Linked DNA regions of Callithrix jacchus. The protein of the gene in region 2 binds, or shares a complex with, the protein of the main gene of each other region. Links are inferred from orthologs where the notes say so. Each region holds a gene or a part of one and is shown on either strand. Other genes may lie near its edges.

What was found.
Region 1: the proteins of LMNA (region 2) and ZMPSTE24 are in contact, whole or in part, in a crystal structure (PDB 2YPT), measured with the Homo sapiens proteins. The link is inferred for Callithrix jacchus from reciprocal best matches to the Homo sapiens genes LMNA and ZMPSTE24. Residues at the interface, in NP_001393912.1 of Homo sapiens: Cys661, Ser662, Ile663, Met664; in NP_005848.2 of Homo sapiens: Ser264, Asn265, Ala266, Tyr267, Phe268, Val332, His335, His339, Glu415, Leu438, Asn439, Asn442, His459, Arg465.
Region 3: the proteins of LMNA (region 2) and BANF1 are in contact, whole or in part, in a crystal structure (PDB 6GHD), measured with the Homo sapiens proteins. The link is inferred for Callithrix jacchus from reciprocal best matches to the Homo sapiens genes LMNA and BANF1. Residues at the interface, in NP_001393912.1 of Homo sapiens: Ser431, Gln432, His433, Ala434, Arg435, Met540, Lys542; in NP_001137457.1 of Homo sapiens: Val11, Ala12, Glu13, Pro14, Glu83, Asp86, Ala87, Phe88.

The regions. Positions count from the first base shown.
Region 1 is NC_133508.1:76,822,708-76,827,634, reverse strand, and holds the start of ZMPSTE24 (CAAX prenyl protease 1 homolog), read right to left. Parts: upstream 3,137-4,927; 5' UTR 2,906-3,136; coding exon 2,783-2,905; intron 142-2,782; coding exon 1-141. UniProt on the Homo sapiens protein: Transmembrane metalloprotease whose catalytic activity is critical for processing lamin A/LMNA on the inner nuclear membrane and clearing clogged translocons on the endoplasmic reticulum.
Region 2 is NC_133519.1:16,524,614-16,528,959, forward strand, and holds part of LMNA (lamin), read left to right. Parts: intron 1-815; coding exon 816-972; intron 973-3,171; coding exon 3,172-3,297; intron 3,298-3,559; coding exon 3,560-3,730; intron 3,731-3,940; coding exon 3,941-4,066; intron 4,067-4,346.
Region 3 is NC_133511.1:123,078,298-123,083,142, reverse strand, and holds BANF1 (barrier-to-autointegration factor), read right to left. Parts: upstream 2,915-4,845; 5' UTR 2,410-2,914; intron 2,217-2,409; exon of another isoform or gene 2,089-2,216; intron 1,746-2,088; 5' UTR 1,730-1,745; coding exon 1,607-1,729; intron 1,355-1,606; coding exon 1,208-1,354; 3' UTR 837-1,207; downstream 1-836. Other genes in the region: putative RNA-binding protein EIF1AD, read left to right, coding at 3,785-3,871, 4,009-4,117, 4,514-4,622, 4,793-4,840. UniProt on the Homo sapiens protein: Non-specific DNA-binding protein that plays key roles in mitotic nuclear reassembly, chromatin organization, DNA damage response, gene expression and intrinsic immunity against foreign DNA.

The sequences.
Region 1 (4,927 bases), on a different chromosome or scaffold from region 2:
TTCAATCTCTGAATAGAGTCCTGACCAGAAGCTGAAAGTGCTTTTATCCAGTTGATACAGTCGAGATTTCTCAAATGTTTCAGAATCCATGATCTGTCCTAACTCTGGTGGTACTTGAGTTGTTGTTTTATATATCCTTCTCTGAAATATTTTGAAGAAAACACTTTAGTGAAACGGTTGATTGTTTATTACAATAGTCATTTATGATCAAACACTGTATGGTTTATAGCTTGTCACTTATTCTTGTTGAATATGCTTTATACGTACACAAATATCACACTTTATCAAGTACATTGACCACTGAAATGACTGATACAGAAAAATAAAAGCAGAACAAGAGAACCTGAGGTTAGCTGACTAGTAAAACTAAAATCAGGGTTATCATCACACTTCAGTTTGTATATGTAAACCAAAGTTGTAACATCACAACTTTGTAACATGTACTACTCATTCTGGGTATTACATACCTCCTCTATTACATAATGGAGAAAACAAATTCATGGAAAGGAGAAGCACACATGCTAACCATGACTATGAACAAATATTGAGGCTGCTCATTAAATTTGGTCCTAAAAGCCAGAAACTTGAGGAGCACCACATAGAAACATATCAGGTATGTGAGAAAAGACCAACTTTTAGCCAGGTGCATTGGGTCACGCCTGTAATCCCAGCACTTTGTGAGCCCAGGAATTTGAGATCGGCCTGAGTAGTGTGGTAAAACACTGTCTCTACAAAAAATACAAAAATTAGCAGTGTGGTGGTGTGCACCTGTGGTCCCAGCTACTTGGGAGGCGGAGGTGAGAGGATCACCTGAACCTAGGAGGCAGAGGTTGCAGTGGGCCCAGATCGTGCCACAGCACTATACCCTGGATGACACTCTGTCTCTTAAAAAAAAAAAAGAAGAAAGACCAACTTTCACATTATACTAAATTCTAAAAGGTAAGGGTAATTGCAGCCCAGGAAATATAATACAGGGAATGAATACCAAACAAAATAACGGGCCACTACAATATGCTTTCCTTATATATTGTTTTGTGCCAATAAAAGCTGAGAACAGGTTGAGAACGGTGGCTCACGCCTGTAATCCCAGCACTTTGGGAGGTTGAGATAGGAGGATCGCTTGAGCCCAGGAACTCCAGACTAGTGCCGGCAACATCTCTACAAAAAAATCCAAAAATTAGCTGGGGACTGTGGCCCACGCCTGTGGTTCTAGCTACTCAGAAGGCTTAGGTGGGCTGGGTGCGGTGGCTCACACCTGTAATCTCAGCACTTTGGGAGGCCAAGGCAGGTGGATCACCTGAGGTCAGAAGTTCAAGACCAGCCTGGCCAACATGGTGAAACCCTGTCTCTACTAAAAACAGAAAAATTAGCCGGGTGTGGTGGCATACACCTGTAATCCCAGCTATTCAGGAGGCTGAGAATCACTTGAACCCAGGAGGTGGAAGTTGCAGTGAGCCGAGATCACACCCCCGCACAACAGCCTGGGCGACAGAGTAAGACTCCGTTTCAAAAAAAAAAAGGTTGAGGTGGAAAGGCTGCATGAGCCCGCAAGTTCAAGGCTGCTGTAAGCTATGATGGTGCTACTGTGCTCTAGCCTGGCTGGCAGAGTGAGCCCCTGTCTCTAAATAAAATAAAGATTCCATCTGGGCTAACATGGTGAAACCCCATCTCTACTAAAAATACAAAAATTAGCTGGGCGTAGTGGCACGTGCCTGTAATCCCAGCTACTAGGGATGCTGAACCAGGAAAATCACTTGAACCTGAGAGGCGGAGGTTACAGTGAGTCGATATTGCGCCACTGCACTTCAGCCTGGTGACAGACCGAGACTCTGTCTTAAATAAATAAAGATTAAAAATAAATAAATAAAAGTTCAGGTATCTAATCCATGGTTATCTCCAGTAAATTAAGTAACTTTCACTTTCTATTTTACCGTTTTAATATTTTAAACAAAAAAATGAAGATAATTTTATTAAAAATTATATATATATATATATATACTCATCTTTTCTTTTCCTTTTTTTTTTTTTGTGTGTGTAGATGGAGTTTCGCTCTTGTCACCCAGGCTGGAGTGCAGTGGTGCAATCTTGGCTCAAGAGATTCTCCTGCCTCAGCCTCCCAAATAGCTAGGACTACAGGCGTGCGCCACCACCCTGACTAATTTTTCTATTTTTAGTAGAGATAAAGTTTCACCATGTTGGCCAGGCTGGTCTCCAACTCCTGACCTCAGGTGATCCGCCCGCCTCGGCCTCTGAAAGTGCTGGGATTACAGGCATGGGCCACCCAAGCCTCCTGGCCTGGCCCGATAAATATATATATATATATATTTTTTTCAACAGAAACAATATATGCACTTTAAGGAGAAACAACAGTGCAGGTTGTTGGAAGGATTGCAAAATCCTGCGGTTAGGCATGATTACATAAATGTCATGAGGAAGTTGGGTTTCTAAATTCTTTTGAAGGCTTATTCCAAAGATAAAGGAGGCCAAGTCTGGGCCCAAGGATCTCAAGGAAGATGTAGGGCGGGCACAAGAGCCCAAGCATTCCTCCAGGGCCTAACGGGATCGACTCCCATGATAACGTTACTGAAAACTTCCTGGACGCACCAAGAGCCCCCTCAAAGCCATAGCCCGCCATCAGGCCAAGTTACGAGACTGAGCAAGGACCACAGGGTCGAGACTGGCGCGGAAACTGGAACAATCATCAAGAGACTCAGGGTCGAAGCCAAGGTTGGCCTAGGGGTGGCCGGGTGTGGGGGTCAGGTGGGACCTTGTCTAGGCTCACCTGCCGCTGTGCTAGGAAGGTCTCCCAAACATACACTGTCCAGGAGAAGAGCAGCACGGCTCCGAAGATACGCTTCTCGGCTGGCATCTCCCACAAAGCGTCCAGCGATGCCCACATCCCCATGGCCACCCCGTTCCGCCGGCTCCTTCAGCGTGCACCGGTGCCACACCGACACTCGTCCCCTCAGAGCGTCCTCGCGGTGTTACAGCGATATCCGTTCTTTCCGAAGGCCCCTACACCGACACCCGCCCCCATCCCTCCCTCTCCGCGCTGCTAGCAGTGTCACAGATACACTCTTCCCCTTGCAGACTCTCCCTACTCCCTCCTAGTTTCTACTGGAAAAGCCCCAGCCCCACCTTCCTCACTTCCGGCTCAAAGAGGGCGGGGAGCCAGAGACTGACTTCCGGGTCCTGCTGAGCTGTGTTGCATCAACATTCGTCCCCAACGACGTGACGCTGGGTTCCGGCCTGGGGTTCTCGCTTTCCTCCAGGGCCGGTGAATGCGGTGAAGTCCTCCGCTTTCTCTACAGAGCCGCAGTTCCATCCCCTGGGTCGGCTGTTTACCCTGACTGGGCTGCGGTATCTGCCCTACTTCCCCCAACAAGGCGACATTTAGTCCGGGCTGGGGCCGGAACTCAGTGGGCCGCCGCTTCTGCCTGAGGTGGCTGGGACGGACCGGACAGCAGCCGGCTTCCCAGTCTCAAAGAATCAAGCCTCTGAACTAGAGCTACCTCAAAAGGGAGACTAGCCATTAGAAATGGAGTCTTTTGGCCAGTATTGGGGTGTTCTGAATTCAAGCGTATGAGAGAGTGGACGGTAGAGTTGAAAATTCTCATTTGAAGATCTCGTCTCAACCACCCCAAGTGTAGTCAAAGGCGGCGTTTTGCCTGCTAGAATGCCTGGAAACAGAGCAAGGACACCGTAGGTTAGACATACCTGAAATGAAAGTTTCTTACTTTGTCTAGGGTACAAATTTGCATCAGTAAGGCGCAGTGCCATTTCTCGCTTGGAATCAGAAGTGAAATATGGTCACTCGGACGCGCGTACATTTATTTGACTTAAAAAGTGAGGTCAGTTATTCTGACCGAAAGTAAATCTGATAATTAATTGGTTAAACATACTATCCTTGCTAATTAGCATAACTATTACTTACAATAAAGTGAGCTAAATCTGTAGCTACGACTAAAATATATTTAAGTTACTGTGATATTGTGATGCTAAAGATGTGTTGAAATTAATATCTTGAATTTCTCAACCTTGCCTAAATGCCTCTGAGAGTAATTAATATAATTAAAAGTCACTAGAGAAAGTGAATGATTCTAATAACAGGTTAACAAATTCTTTTCAAGTCAAATGATCTCCAGTTATTTGTTTTCAACAAAATTAATGGTAGCTCTATTGAATTGTCAGCCAAGGAAGGAACACTATTTGGTTTTTGGCATGCAACTCAGAAACCAAAGAATTGGTTGACATTCTTACAGCAAAACTACTAGCATTCCCACCTATTTGTTTATGTAAATTCATTTCTCAGCACTTGTATCTATGAAAAAACAATTAAAACTAAACCCTGTTAATCTAGCAGTAGGAACTGTTCATCCAGATAAATGAATTAATTGGTGGGACAGTCCCATCTGTCTCACTGAGATGTGTTCCCAATAGAATTTCACCTTTTATAATTGTATATTATCAATATTTGTAATTGTGTCATTTTGATCCACTATTTGCTAAAGATTATTGTGATGATTACTGACTTCAGAAGAATTACAGCATAGAGCCATAAAGTTACAGGAAATTTTTTAAAAGTTTAATACACACATTATATTTTTATTGCAAAAAGTGATCAATAAAAGGTTTTTTAAACATCAAAGTATTACATTTGAATAACATTTTGTGGTAAAGTACAACCTAAATATGTTAGAGATAATAAAATAACAATGTTGAAGAGCTCCTTAGGGTATGCTTTAATGGATAATGGTGGTTATTTAGTTGTTTTGTAGATTCTCTTGGATACATTATAGAAAGTGATTTAAGTTTTAAAAATTGTTTATACTGAAAAGTTGCAATGATTTAAGTTTTATCTTAAAATGTCAGTATTTACAGTTTGCCAGAATTTACATCCATTGCAACGATCTGAATTTATGATGAA
Region 2 (4,346 bases):
CTAAAGCCTTACCCACTTTGTGGAGCAGAGAGCCTTAAAGCTGGGGCCCAGATGGACCTGGAGGCCTGGGAGCCACATCTGGAGCCAGATGCTAAAGTTGTGGTAGGACTCAGCCTTCTCCCTGGGTGCAGATGAGGCAGGAGGGAGGGAGGCAGGGACCCCTCTGTTCAATGCAGACCAGGGCACCCAGACTGGGTCCTGAGAAGGGAAAAGATCAATACTGTCTGTGGCTGTCCTTGTCCAAGGTCCCTCTGAGCTCTGACTAGACTTTCCTTCCCACAGTTCCACACGTGTAAAAGGGACTAGGAGAGGCGACGAGCAAGCACCTTTGGAGCTCAGACCAAAAAGCGTTAGGGACTGTGGGGCTCATGGCCATGAGCTTAGTTGTCAGGCTCCTCGGAGGGAGGGAAGCTTGGCCAAAGGGAAGTGGGTGGAGTCCAGGGAGAAGGCTAAGGCCCTGTGTGGGAAGGGCAGGAGACAAAGGTACCCCTGTCTCTTTGGGAAAGAATGGGAGGAGAAAGAGGGGAAAGCATTCATATCATGGGGTAGAGCTCTGCCGTTGGCCCCAGGCACGTTCCTGAACCCTGAGTCATGGGCAGGGTGGAGAAGCAGGAATGGGGTTTTCAGGGACCTTGGGGAGGTGGGAGCCCAGCCCCAGAGGCAAGCAGATGGAAACCAACCTAATGCAAGGATGCCCTCTCCTGGTAGTTGCGGGAACAGCAGCACCAGCCCCCATGGCTGACCTCTAGGGAGCCTGGTACTGTCTAGGTATGCAGACTCCTTTTCTTAAACCCACTCTCCCCTCTCTTCTTTAGCAATACCAAGAAGGAGGGTGATCTGCTAGCTGCTCAGGCCCGGCTGAAGGACCTGGAGGCTCTGCTCAACTCCAAGGAGGCCGCACTGAGCACTGCTCTCAGTGAGAAGCGCACACTGGAGGGCGAGCTGCATGATCTGCGGGGCCAGGTGGCCAAGGTGAGGCCACCCTGCAGGGCCCGGCCATGGCCCCACCTAACACATGTACACTCACTCTTCTACCTAGGGCCTCCCTCAGGAGGTGCCTGTCTGACCTGTCACCTGATTTCAGAGCCATTCACTGGTCCTAGAGTCATTTCACCCACTGAGGCCACATTTTTTTCTTTTTGAGACGGAGTCTTGCCTGGTCACCAGGCTGGAGTGCAATGGTGCCATCTTGACTCACTGAAACCTCCGCCTCCCGGGTTCAAGCAATTCTCTTGCCTCAGCCTCCTGAGTAGCTGGGATTACAGGCACATGCCACCATGCCCAGCTAATATTATATTTTTAGTAGAAATGGGGTTTCACCCTGTTGGTCAGGGTAGTGTTAATCTCTTGACCTTGTGGTCTGACTGCCTCAGCCTCCTAAAGTGTTGGGATTAAAGCTGTGAGCCACCGCTCCCGGCCTGGCCACATCTTATCCTAATTTGGCCACCCATGGGATCTAGCAGAGTGAATTTAAAATAATTGAGGCCAGGTGTGGTGGCTCATGCCTGTAATCCCAGCACTTTGGGAGGCCAAGGAGGCAGGATTGCTTGAGCCCAGGAGTTTGAGACCAGTCTGGGCAACACAGTAAGACTCCATCTCTAGAAAAGAAAAATTTAAAGAAATTGGCTGGGCATGGTGGTGCACACCTACAGTCCCAGCTACTTGGGAAGCTGAGGCAGGAAAATCATTTGAACCCAGAATCAGAGGTTGCAGTGAGCTGAGATTGTGTCATTGCACTCCAGCCTGGGCAACAAGAATGAAACTCCATCTCAAAAAAAAAAAAAAAAAAAGAATAGCTGGGCACAGTGACTTATGCCTGTAATCCCAGCACTTTGGGAAGCAAAGGCAGGTGGATCACCTGGGGTTAGGAGTTCAAGACCAGCCTGGCGAAACCCCATCTCTACTAAAATTACAAAAATTAGCTGGGTGTGGCGGCAGGCACCTATAATCCCAGCTACTTGGGAGCCTGAGGCAGGAGAATCGCTTGAACCTGGGAGGTAGATGTTGCAGTGAGCCAAGATCGGGTCACTGTACTCCAGCCCAGGTGACAGAGTGAGACTCTGTCTCAAAAAAATAAAATAATAAATAAAAGCTAGGAATCAGAAGCGCCGGGCGCCATGGCTTGTGCCTGTAATCCTAGCACTTTAGGAGGCCCAGGTGGGTGGATCACCTGCAGTCAGGAGTTCAAGACCAGCCTGGCCATCATGTTGAAACCTCATCTTTAAAAAAAAAAAAAAAATTAAATTAAAAAAAAAAAAAAAGGAGGCCGGGCGTGGTGGCTCACGCCTGTAATCCCAGCACTTTGTGAGGCTGAGGCGGGTGGATCACGAGGTCAAGAGATCGAGACCATTCTGGTCAACATGGTGAAACCCCGTCTCTACTAAAAATACAAAAAATTAGCTGGGCATGGTGGCGTGTGCCTGTAATCCCAACTACTCAGGAGGCTGAGGCAGGAGAATTGCCTGAACCCACAAGGCGGAGGTTGCGGTGAGCCGAGATTGCACCATTGCACTCCAGCCTGGGTAACAAGAGTGAAACTCCATCTCAAAAAAAAAAAAAAAAAAAAAAAAAAAAGGAATCAGAAGCAGTTTGTTCCTAATTTCACAGTCTCATCTGTTCACAGCAGGGCCAGGATTAGAGTCAGTGGCCAAGCTTCCATCCCGGGTGCTCGCCCTTCCCAGGCCCTGCCACCACAGTATAACAGGGAAAGACCTGGAGAAGCCAGCAGGTTGACCACCAGACCACCTTTCTCCTGGGTCTGACCTCCTGCCTCCCAGCTCTGCCCTTCCCCCAGCCCTTCCTGGTCAGCCGGTGCTTCCTTGCCGTCTTTTTCTTAGAACATAGACACGTTCTCTCTATGTTGTCCAGGCTGGTCTTGAACTCCTGGCCTCAAGAGATCCTCCTGCCTCAGCCTCCCAAAGTGCTGGGATTATAGGCATGAGCCACCATGCCCGGCTACTTTTTTGTATTGGACATAGCTTTTCTTAGCACAGTACCTCCCGAGAGGGTGTGAGTGAATGCTCTGACCTCTGCAGCCATCCAAGACCCTCCTTCCCTGGACCTGTTTCCACATGTATAAAGGGGTGCATGGGCAGCAGCCCACCTCTCAGCTTCCTTCCAGTCCTTGTGTTCTGTGACCCCTTTACGTGACCTCTGCATGCCTCCTCACAGCTTGAGGCAGCCCTGGGTGAGGCCAAGAAGCAACTTCAGGATGAGATGCTGCGGCGGGTGGATGCTGAGAACAGGCTGCAGACCCTGAAGGAGGAACTGGACTTCCAGAAGAACATCTACAGCGAGGTGGGGACTGTGCTTTGCAGGCCAGAGATGGGGCTGGGTGATGACAGACTCGGGCTGGGGGGACCAGCTGCGTGCAGAGCTCACCTTCCTGAGTCCCTTGCCCTAGAATACAGGGAGTTGGGCATAGCCAAGACCCAGCTCCGAGGTTAAAGTGGGGCTGGCAGTGCCTCATGGGGTACAGCGGGGCAGGGAGCCCGGCCCCTGGGTCTTGGTCTCCCAGGAACTAATCTTGGTTTCTGGGTCCTTGCTCCCACCCTTCCAGGAGCTGCGTGAGACCAAGCGCCGCCATGAGACCCGGCTGGTGGAGATCGACAACGGGAAGCAGCGTGAGTTTGAGAGCCGGCTGGCGGATGCCCTGCAGGAACTGAGGGCCCAGCATGAGGACCAGGTGGAGCAGTACAAGAAGGAGCTGGAGAAGACTTATTCCGCCAAGGTGCTTGCTCTCCCCTGGTTCCCTCACTGCCTCTGCCCGCAGCAGCCTACCCTTGCCCACGCTGGGCTGTTCCGCCGGGGAGATCAGGCAGATGGTGGCAGGGAGCTCAGGGCGGCCCAGGACCCAAGGCTGTGGCAGTGATGCCCAGCTCAGGCCTATCCCTCCACCCTCCTGGTCATCACCGTCCTACCCTTGTGTCCTTCCCTCCAGCTGGACAATGCCCGGCAGTCTGCTGAGAGGAACAGCAATCTGGTGGGGGCCGCCCACGAGGAGCTGCAGCAGTCACGCATCCGCATCGACAGCCTGTCTGCCCAGCTCAGCCAGCTCCAGAAGCAGGTGATACCCCACCTCACCCCTCCCTCCAGGGGCCTGGAGTCTGGGCAGGATGCAGGCTGGAAGCTCAGGGCCGGGTTGTGGGGGGTGTTCCTGAGGAGGACAGGGACAAACATGTCCCCAGGACCACAGAGAAGGGTCGCAAGATGCGGCATCAGGCGGCCTGTGTGCTGCTTCTGCACTCTTACCTTGCCTTCACTTCTCAAGGCTTCGATTTTCCCACTCGGAAATGGAAGCTGTTCTTAATCTCCCTGACTCAGAGTTGCCATAAGACTCTGCAATG
Region 3 (4,845 bases), on a different chromosome or scaffold from region 2:
GGAACACATGGCCAGGTCCATGGGTTTCCAAGCTAGTTTGAGTTCCAGACTATCTACTTCCCAACAGCAAGTCCATGGGCAAATTAGCCTCTCTGAGTCTCAATTTCCTCACCTGTAAAAGAGAATATAATGATTTATTATTGTAAAAAAAAAAAAATATTTGCAAAGATTTTAACTTCAAGTCTGGTTCATATTAAGTGCTCAAGAAATAATAGGGCTGGCCAGGTAGAGTGGCTCACATCTAGTCAGAGCTTTGGGAGGCTTAAGGATTGCTTAAGGCCAGCCTAGGCAATACAACACGGTCCTGTCTCGATTAATCTAAAAAGTAAACAAATAGAAAGGGCTAAAATGCACTGAGGTGTACTTCCTTCTCATGCTTCCAGCTGTAATGCCTGTGCTCTTTCTCCTCCCTAAGAGATCAGGGAAGATGGCAAGCCCCCTACCTACCCTTGCCAGAGGCCGGGAAAGCAGATATGATGACTGGTAGGTGAACTCGCACCCGCATCCGGTCCACCCTCTGTCAAGTACCTCTGACTCCCACTGACTTTTCCACCAGGTGCTGCCTAGCCCAGCTGTTGACTTAACTGACATGTGGAGCACAGTCCATCTGGCTCCCAGGAAAAGATCCACCCACACTCTCTCCCACATCACTTGGGGATTGAGACACTCCAAGTCACCTGCCTGAGATCTACATGGCTAGGGTGGCTGCCCTCTGGGAGTGGAAGGGAAGCTGCCGGTTTCGGTCTGTACTGATAAGGAGAGGGGGAGACGTGGTCAGTCCCTGGAGGAGAGGCAACTCCCAGCCCACTTGCTTTTCAATGCACAAAGCCCAGTCATGAAAGCCACTGACTTTATTGATCTAAAAAACTTTACAACGACAGTGACTGTTCTGCCAAAAAAGGAGCCAAATGGTATCAAACGGACTGAAAGTGAGGGTGGGGGTGAGGGATAGGGCCAGGAATCCATTCAGGAAAGCCAGTAACTGTCATCAGGGAACTGGCAAGGGAAAAAGGAAGAGGGAGGCATGCAAGAGCGAGAATCCAAAAAAGTTGAAATGGTTAGGGGAGGAAACTCCCAAAGACCCTGGAGTACATCGGAGGTGAGTACGACAATAGCAATCTTTTCCTCTGTAGCGGACAGGGGAGGAGTCCCTAATCGGCTGCAAACTCTGGATGAGGGCTGGGGATTGAGAGCTTCCCAGAGAGTATCACAAGAAGGCATCACACCACTCTCGAAGGCATCCAAAGCAGTCCCGGGACTGCTTGGCATTGGCACCACAAGTGTCCTTCAGCCATTCCCGGAAGAGGTCTTCATCTTTCTTTAGCACCAAAAACTGGCCAAGGACAACATAGGCCTGAGAGACAGAGAAAAGGAAGGGGCATACTGCTCAGTGTTCAGTGAGGGATAAGAGTAAATCGGTCATTCCCGTGCCATTCAGAGCACACAAGCCCAGGAAGCAGGGCGGGTTTTGCCCCCATCTCCTCTCTACCAGGTGCCCAGGCTCTGGCAGTCTCTTCAGATTATGCCCCACCGCCCACCCCACAGCAGATGGACTCACTTCCCTCCCACTCCCAGCCTGTGCCAGGTACACGCTGCCACCCCACACCTTGTCAAAGCCCCTTTCCTCCAGCTTCTTGCCCAGGACTTCACCAATCCCGGCCAGGCTCCCCACTGGCTTTTCCCCCATGGGCTCTGCCACGAAGTCTCGGTGCTTTTGGGAGGTTGTCATCTTGATCAGGCTTAATCTAGAAATCCCAAAAAAAGACACGTTAGGGTTGAAGACCTGGAACTCCTAAGGGCCCACTAGCAATCTCATAGTAAGAGGAAGCTAAGCCAGGCATTATGGTGGCTTGCTCGATATCCCTCATCAAAAAAGGAGAAAACTGAGGTCCAGGGAGCCTTCCCTACTATTCTGAAGAGAAGTTTCTTCCTGCAGGACCTGGATTTTGATCTTGCCCAGAGGAAAAACGATCCTGCCTAACAGGTGGCGCAAACGGGTAAGTGGAAAGATTCCCAGAGTCAGTAGCCAGGGCCGCCCAGAAGCTGTCACTCCTTCTGTGACCTTGGCTGAGCCAAGAAGGCACTGACCCTGTCTGGACCGGTCACTTGGCATGGAAAGTTAACCAAAGGGTCTCTCTACCCACAGAGCGAAGCGCAAATCGAGCGCTCCGCACACTCGCCTCCAGCCCGCGGGGTTCAAGCCGCGCCCCAGCTCCGCCCCCATCGCGCGGCGCCGCGGCCCGCCCCCTCCCGCGGGCCGGCTCCCACGCGCCGCGCCCCGCCCCCTCCCCGCAGCGCGGCTAAGCTCTCCCCAAGGGCCCACCCCAGCGCCTGCGGCCCCTCTCATCCCATTCTCCTCGCAACCCATCTGGCCTCTAGCCAGGGCCCTGCTCTGCAGCTGACGCTCACCGGCAGCTTCAGTTCCCGTAACGGTTCCTCCCGCCACCCGGCCGCTCCCGCCGATACCTCAAGCCACTAGAACTTTCTTCCACTTCCGCTTCCGGGTCGCCTCAAGAGCGTCCTTTAAAAAAAAAAAAAAAAAAAAACCCTCCACGTTGGGCACTTCTAGCCAGTTAGGGCTATAGAGTTGAGGCGTCCCGGACCTCGACGGCCTCTGTAGTAGGTCCTCCTTTCCGGTCCTTCGCGGGAAGTCCTGCTGCCTTGTAAGGTCCCGCTACTCGAGGAAGAAAGGCCTCCAGAGAAAGGATTTTCTTTCTCTGCTGCCCGGACCCGGAACTCAAGGACTTAGGCTTGACCGACTGGCGTGGGGAAGAGTTGGAAGAACGGACAAGGGAGGGGACGGGTGGCCGGGAGGCTTCCGAGACAGCGCCGGAAGTACAGTTTTTCGAAGAGATCCGACTCAAACTCACGTCACCCTCCTAGCAGTGGGACTGGAGGGAACTGAAAACATTGGAGACCTGGATTTAAGCTCACGCTACCGTCGCGGCCGTCAGCAAGTTCCTTTACTGTGTTTTCTTGGCTCAGCCTTCAAGTGAGTCGCGGACAATTCTCTCAGCGTCCGGCCTGGACAGCGGGGTTGCTCAGGCAGCGTTCCTGGGAGCCGAGGGCCACAGACTTAAGTGTGGGTCTTTTTCCGAGGGTCTTTTCTCCGGGATAGACGGGGAGGAGGAAGGAGGACGGCAACTAGATATGACATATCGATGTTTCCTTCGGAAACCGTCAGTCTGGCCCTCGTCTTCTAAGTAAGAAAGTCAAACATGCAAATGTCGCAGGCAAGCCTGCTCACCTCCACCTTTCGTTAACTAGTTCCTGGCTTGGACCGTCGCGGTGGCCACCTAATTTGTCTCCGGCTGTAGTGTGTTGCCAGACTGAACTTCTCTGTTGTGTGATTGTGCTAGACTTGGGGTGTACAAACGTGTTGAGAAAGATATGGTTTATCTCAGACTCCTTCCAGAGAGGTTGCCAGGGTGATTTCTCTGGAGCATGTGTATAGTTTTATGTTATACCAGTAGTTATGATTGCAGGAGTTACTTTTATATAACATGCACTGTGTTGTCCCATTCTGTAACAATGCTGAGTTAGCTGTTATTTTTTCTGGGACCTAGAGAAGTTGAATAGTTAGGAAATGAACCAAGGTAGAATTTGAATCCAGGCAGTTAAGACTTCAGAGCCCATATTCTTAACCAAGACACTGTGTCACTCCTCAGTAAAAAGCTCCACCCCATCTTCAGAATAGTCCTGGGTTCTGAGCCTGCCGTCCAAGGAACTCAGGAGGAGGAATTGACAGTCTCTGCATCTCTAAGTACCCTGGGACAACTTAAGCATGTCTCAGGCCACCAAGAGGAAGCATGTGGTGAAGGAGGTGCTGGGGGAGCACATGGTGCCCTCTGACCGGCAGCAGATTGTTCGGGTGAGTGGCTTTGGGCACAAGCTGCTCTGCTCCCCCCCAACCGCTGTAGGGCCCCTGGGGCAGGGGTAGGGTGCAGTGTGTCTGAGAGGGTGTTTGATCTGACTGATGAGGCTGATTCCTGGTCTCTCCTGAACCAGGTACTCAGGACTCCAGGGAACAATCTGCATGAGGTGGAGACAGCCCAAGGGCAGCGTTTCCTTGTGAGCATGCCCTCCAAATACCGCAAGAACATCTGGATCAAGAGAGGTAAGAGGATCACTCCTGTAATCCAAGCACTTTAAGAGGCTGAGGTGGGAGGATCGCTTGAGCTCAGGAGTTTGAGATCAGCCTGGGCAGCATAATGAGACCTTGTCTCTACAAAAAATTAAAAATTAGTTGGGCACGTGTCTGTGATCCCAGCTACCCAGGAGGCTGAGGCCTGAGAATCATTTGAGCCTGGGAGGTGGAGGCTGCAGTCAGCTATGATCATGCTATTGCATTCCAGCCTGGGCAAAAGAGCAAAACCCTGTCTCAAAAAAAAAAGAAAAAAAAAAAAAGAGAGGTGAGAGGCAGCCCTCTCTAGGCGATAGAACCATTTCCTATAGCTTTGGCTTTCCTTATTGCAAGCAGGCCTGACTTTCCCTTTTCTCTTCTTACCTACAGGGGACTTTCTCATTGTTGACCCCATTGAAGAGGGAGAGAAGGTGAAGGCTGAGATCTCCTTTGTGCTCTGCAAGGACCACATGCGCTCACTGCAGAAGCAGGGGCTTTGGTAGGGTGGACCCCTTGATCATTGGTTCTCTGACTTCTGGAGGCACTGCCTTTCTAGCTTGGGAATTTGGGGAGGGAAGGTCATGGCATCCCAGGCAGAGACAGCTGGAAACAGCTCTTTTGTGAGAAATGTCTTTGTCCTCTCTGACTCTGGCTCATCTCTTGGCATAGGCCTGAGGCCTTCTCTGAAGTGGTGGAGAAACACAGTAACATGAACAGGTGAG